Linked DNA regions of Macaca mulatta. The protein of the gene in region 1 interacts with the protein of each later gene in a pairwise test. Links are inferred from orthologs where the notes say so. Each region holds a gene or a part of one and is shown in the gene's direction. Other genes may lie near its edges.

The links.
Region 2: the proteins of FOSL1 (region 1) and USF1 interact in binary tests that used the Homo sapiens proteins (3 or more experiments, as listed by UniProt). The link is inferred for Macaca mulatta from reciprocal best matches to the Homo sapiens genes FOSL1 and USF1.

What each region holds. Positions count from the first base shown.
Region 1 is NC_133419.1:8,525,477-8,529,295, forward strand, and holds part of FOSL1 (fos-related antigen 1), read left to right. Parts: intron 1-1,185; coding exon 1,186-1,383; intron 1,384-3,819.
Region 2 is NC_133406.1:105,840,300-105,842,853, forward strand, and holds part of USF1 (upstream stimulatory factor 1), read left to right. Parts: intron 1-375; coding exon 376-425; intron 426-587; coding exon 588-703; intron 704-1,041; coding exon 1,042-1,143; intron 1,144-1,312; coding exon 1,313-1,508; intron 1,509-1,747; coding exon 1,748-1,835; intron 1,836-2,554.

The sequences.
Region 1 (3,819 bases):
TCACGCCTGTAATCCCAGCACTTTGGGAGGCCGAGACGGGCGGATCACGAGGTCAGGAGATCGAGACCATCCTGGCTAACACGGTGAAACCCGGTCTCTACTAAAAAAATACAAAAAACTAGCCGGGCGAGGTGGCGGGCGCCTATAGTCCCAGCTACTCGGGAGGCTGAGGCAGGAGAATGGCGTGAACCCGGGGGGCGGAGCTTGCAGTGAGCTGAGATCCGGCCACTGCACTCCAGCCTGGGTGACAGAGCGAGACTCCGTCTCAAAAAAAAAAAAAAAAAAGCAAAAAAAAAAGCATTGGGATGGCCTGAACCCACAGCAGTGACTCTTTCCTGCCTCAGCCCCTCTGCACTGGGCACCTGCCACTTACCAGACTGTCGCACACATTCTCTCACTTGATTCTCACAGCCTCCCCGTGAGATGGGAGCTGTAATTATCCTCTTCGTGCAAACAGGTGCAGGAGTGGGTAAAAGACCAGCTGCTGGGCTCAAATACTGTTTCCTACTCACTGGCTCTGTGTCTGTGGACAACTGTTCTCCTGTCTGAAAATGAAGATACTAGGCTGGGTGTGGTGGCTCAAGCCTGTAATCCCAGCACTTTGGGAGGCCAAGGTGGGTGGATCACCTGAGGTTGGGGGTTGGAGACCAGCCTGGCAAACATGGTAAAACCCTGTCTCTACTAAAAATACAAAAATTAGCCGGGCATGGTGGTGCACACCTGTAATTCCAGCTACTCGGGAGGCTGGGGCAGGAGGATCACTCGAACCTGGGAAGCACAGGTTGCAGTGAGCCAAGATCATGCCACTACACTCCAGCCTGGGCAACAGAGTGAGACTCCATCTCAAAAAAAAGAAAAAAGAAAAGAAAATGAAGATACTACTGTGCCAATGATATGAGTCAGTATTTGTAAAGTGGTTAGAACAGTTCCTGGCAGTTTATATTTTATAAATGTTAGCTCTAATGGGGAAACGGGGGCACAGAAAGGTTATGTGACCTGCCCAAAACCACACAGCTTATGAGCAGGGATTTGCCACTAGGTCAGTCTCTGACTGCCAGGCTGTGTTCTTTCTGTTCTCAGAGCTAGCCTGTACATTGAAGGTAGACAGCAGTGTAGCCTCTGCCCAGTGGAAGCCCCTCAATCCACATGGACCTCATCTGTGGCCTTCCATTTCTTATTCCTTAGAAGTTCCACCTCGTGCCAAGCATCAACACCATGAGTGGCAGTCAGGAGCTGCAGTGGATGGTACAGCCTCATTTCCTGGGGCCCAGCAGTTACCCCAGGCCTCTGACCTACCCTCAGTACAGCCCCCCACAACCCCGGCCAGGAGTCATTCGGGCCCTGGGGCCGCCTCCAGGGGTGCGTCGAAGACCTTGTGAACAGGTAAGGCACAGAGGCATCGCAGTGGCTCCGACTCCACCCAGGAGTGCTGGGTGCAGAGAAGCTCCTACCAGAAAGGAGAACATAGGGTTAGGAGAGAGTAAGGTAGGCTATAGGTGACTACTGCCCAAGGCTGAAAGCGATAGGAGCCCCACGGGAGGCCCAGAGGATACAACAGTCACTTCTGGATCACAGAAGCTTCCTGGAAAAGGTGGCATATTAGCCTAGAAGGATGGGTAGGACTGGCAGAGGCACAGAGGAAGGAAAGGACATTCCAGGTAGAGAGGGATGGCAGGAGCAAGGATGGAGGTGGAGGCAAGAGCATGTAACGTGCGCACATGTAATGGTGAGGGGGTCTCCACCTACCAGCATGCATAGAGGGGATACTTATGTTGTCTGGGAGAGAACAGGAACAAGAGGGTTCCCTTCAGCTACTCCCTCAGTCTCAGTTTCCCTGTCTCATTTAATCCTCAAGAAATCTATCTGGGGTATGTACCCTGGTTTTCCCCATCTTCCACCAAGGAAATGAAGGCACAGAGGGGTAGTCACTTGCCCAAGATCACACAAGTAGTGAGTAATGGCACAGAACTGGCCTTGGCTCCAGGTCCATCCAGCTCTGAAGTCAGATCCTAACCACCAAACCAAGGCCAGGTGCAGTAGCTCATGCCTGTAATCCCAGCACTTTGAGAGACCTAGGCAGGAGGATCACTTGAGGCCAGGAGTTAAAGACTAGGCTGGGCAACGTAGAGAGCCCCTGTCTCTACCGAAAAAAACAAAATAAAATAAAATCCCCAAAACTAATCACCAAGCCACTCTGTCTCACTGGGAGCTAACAGAAGGCTCAAAGTAGAGGGAATTGAGAATTCTTGGCTCCTCAAGGCCCTTACCAAAATAAGTGAATAAGAGATGGTGAGTCTTTAAAGGAGTGGCTCTCTTTCCTCTCCGTGGGCATTTTGGTGTGGGAGACTACAGGGGATGAGTTTAAAAAGCTTGGTTGGCAGGTAGAGGATGGGGAGAGAGGTTAGGGCCCTGGGAAAGATGAGAGATAGCCAGGGATAGGTTTCCCAGAACAGGATGTCTGGCCTTTGTGGTGAGGAGGGACTGTGGTGTGAGCCACAGAAGCGGGCCAGGGGTAAACCCTCTTGTGCATCCTTCCTTCAGCCTGGTTCTGCGGGTGACCCTTTGATCCTGGGCTCTCCAGGTAGGGCTGTGAGCTGTGAGTTGGATCCTTTTGGCGAAATGGTCTCTCTCATCTGGCCTGTCACTCAATGTGGAATAGAGTGAGTGGGTTCTATGGGTTCTAAGTCCTACTCTGGAACCATAAGCAAGTTATCCTCCGTGGGCTTCAGTTTTTCATGGAAAGTTGGGTTAAGAATCTATGTTTAAGGCCAGGTGTGGTGGCTCACGCCTGTAATCCCAGCACTTTGGGAGGCCGAGGCAGGCAGGTCATGAGGTCAGGAGATCAAGACCGTCCTGGCTAACATGGTGAAACCCCGTCTCTACTAAAAAATACAAAAAGCCGGGCGTGGTGGTGGGCGCCTGTAGTCCCAGCTACTCGGGAGGCTGAGGCAGGAGAATGGTGTGAACCCAGGAGGCAGAGCTTGCAGTGAGCTGAGATCGCGCCACTGCACTCCAGCCTGGGCGACAGAGCAAGACTCCGTCTCAAAAACAAAAACAAACAAAAAACAACAACAACAGGCCGGGTGCGGTGGCTCACACCTGTAATCCCAGCACTTTGGGAGGCCAAGGAGGGGGATCACCTGAGGTCAGGAGTTTGAGACCAGTCTGACCAACATGGAGAAACGCCGTCTCTATTAAAAATACAAAAAAATTAGCTGGGCGCGGTGGCACATGCCTGTAATCCCAGCTCCAGCTACTAGGGAGGCTGAGACAGGATAATCGCTTGAACCTGGGAGGTGGAGGTTGCGGTGAGCCAAGATCACACCATTGCACTCCAGCCTGGGCAACAAGAGTGAAACTCTGTCTCAAAAAAAAAAAAAAAAATCTATGTTAAAAAAAAAAAAAAAGAGGCCAGGTGTGGTGGCTCCTGCTGGTAATCCAAGCTTTCTAGGAGGCCAGTGCAGGAGGATCCCTTGAGCCCAGGAGTTCCAGACCAGCCCGGGCAACATAGCGAGACCCCATCACTACAAAAAAAAAAAAAAAAGGCCAAGCACAGTGGCTCATGCCTGTAATCTCAGCACTTTGGGAGGCTGAGGAGGGTGGATCACCTGAGGTTAGGAGTTCAAGACCAGCCCGGCCAATATGGTGAAACCTCATCTCTACTAAAAATACAAAAATTAGCCAGGTGTGGTGGTATATGCCTGTAATCCCAGCTACTTGGGAGGCTGAGGCATGAGAATCACTCGAATCCAGTAGATGGAGGTTGCAGTGAGTCGAGATCAGGCCAATGCATTCCAGCTTGAGAAAGAGTGAGACTCT
Region 2 (2,554 bases), on another chromosome or scaffold:
AAGGGGTAGGGTCTGGGATGAAAGATGGGTGGCCTGGAAGAATGCAAAATGGCCAAGAGCACTGCCTCTGGAGTCAGGCAGACCTGGATTCAGGTTCTACTCTATCACTTACTGTGTGATTTGGTTTCTTCATCTATAAAATGGAAGTAGTGCTATCTATCTCATGGTGTTGTTTTTAATATTAAATAAGAGTACATGTGATGTACTTAGCTTAGTGCTTATGTACATAGTAAACAGCAAACACTAGTTGTTATTCTAACCTAACTCAGCTTCTGTTGGGAATGCCAATGAGTTTGCAGCCATATGTTACTGGGCCGGTGAGCTTCTCATTGACTTCTTCCCATACTCTTCCTTTTGTCCTTTCACCACAAACAGGCAGCAGAAAACAGCTGAAACGGAAGAGGGGACAGTGCAGATTCAGGAAGGTGAGTGCTAGAGACGGAACCAAGACTAAGAACCCATCATGGCCTCCCTTCCTCCCCCACCAGACCATCTCCTGTGCATCCTCCTCCTTCAGTGACATGCACGTGGAACGGGGATAGAAAGGCAGTTAACTCACAGACTTTTCTTTTGTTCTTTTAATTCAGGTGCAGTGGCTACTGGGGAAGACCCAACCAGTGTGGCTATTGCCAGCATCCAGTCAGCTGCCACCTTCCCTGACCCCAACGTCAAGTACGTCTTCCGAACTGAGAATGGGGGCCAGGTAAGGGAGGGGGCCAGGTGGCTGCAGGTGTTATTTGGGATTGGGATTGAGGGAGGTAATTGAACATGTCTTGGGGAGACCTGGCTTGGAGGATGAGTTGAAAGAGTGGACTGTTTCAGGGGAGGGGGGTGCTGATACTGGAGTAGAGACTGGTGTGAGGTTAGGTGTATGCTGAAACCTCTGTGTGGGGAGAGAAGGGAGAATGGCTCAATCCGTGTCTCTGAAGGACTTTGTTTTGGGGCCCTATCCAAGGGAAGCTTTATGAGGGGCCCTAGGATTCCCAACACTTAATCTTTTATTCTCTCTTTCCCTTGCTCTGCCTTCCTCTACACTTCTAGGTGATGTACAGGGTGATCCAGGTGTCTGAGGGGCAGCTGGATGGCCAAACTGAGGGAACTGGTGCCATCAGTGGCTACCCTGCCACTCAATCCATGACCCAGGTACAGGGTATGGGCTGGGGAGGTGACTAGAGTTCTGAGAAGTAAGATGAAGAAGGGTATTAGTAGGATGGGGGTGAAGCTAGGAACAGTGAGGCGTCTAGGGCTGCCTTGTCCCAAAGCACTAGGCTCTCCTTTCCTGGATGTTTCTCTCTCTCTCTCTCTCTCTCAGGCGGTGATCCAGGGTGCTTTCACCAGTGATGATGCAGTTGACACGGAGGGGACAGCTGCTGAGACGCACTATACTTACTTCCCCAGCACGGCAGTGGGAGATGGGGCAGGGGGTACCACATCGGGGAGTACAGCTGCTGTTGTTACTACCCAGGGCTCAGAGGCACTGCTGGGGCAGGCGACCCCTCCTGGCACTGGTGAGATACTGCATGAGGATGCTGGCTGAAAGGGCTAGAATAGGCTGTGAGACATGACTGGTAGGCAGTGAGCCTTCACTCATGACTCTTAGTGATCATTAAGATCTGGGCAGGCAGTGAGTCCGGGGCTGCTCTTCTATTAACATGTTCTTTTTAGAGGAGGGGCCCAGGGTCTTCACCTCAGGGCTTGGTGAGGTTCCTACCCATGTCCTGACAGAACCTACCCTGCATCTTCACAGGTCAATTCTTTGTGATGATGTCACCACAAGAAGTACTGCAGGGAGGAAGCCAGCGCTCAATTGCCCCTAGGACTCACCCTTATTCCCCGTGAGTGACACTTGTTTCTTCTCAAATTTCATAAGTGTTTTTTTTTGTTTTTTTTGTTTTTTTCTGAGACAGAGTCTTGCTCTGTCACCCAGGCTGGAGTGCAGTGGCGTGATCTCAGCTCACACAACATCTGCCTCCAGGGTTCAAGTGTTTCTCATGCCTCAGCTTCCCAAGTAGCTGGAACTACAGATGTGTACCACCACCCCTGGCTAATTTTTGTATCTGTTTTTGGTTTTTTTTTTTGAGACGGAGTCTCGCTCTGTCGCCCGGGCTGGAGTGCAGTGGCCGGATCTCAGCTCACTGCAAGCTTCGCCTCCCGGGTTTACGCCATTATCCTGCCTCAGCCTCCCGCGTAGCTGGGATTACAGGCGCCCGCCAACTCACCCGGCTAGGTTTTTTTTTGTGTGTGTATTTTTTAATAGAGACGGGGTTTCACCATGTTAGCCAGAATGGTCTCAATCTCCTGACCTCGTCATCCACCCGTCTCGGCCTCCCAAAGTGCTGGGATTACAGGCTTGAGCCACCGCGCCCGGCCTAATTTTTGTATCTTTAGTAGAGACAGGGTTTCATCATGTTGGCCAGGCTGGTCTCGAACTCCTGACCTCAATCCGCCTGCCTCGGCCTCCCAAAATGCTGGGATTACAGGTGTGAGACAACACACCCAGCTACCCATAAGTGGTCCTAGTACCTGCTAAATCTTGTATAATTCCTTAACCCCA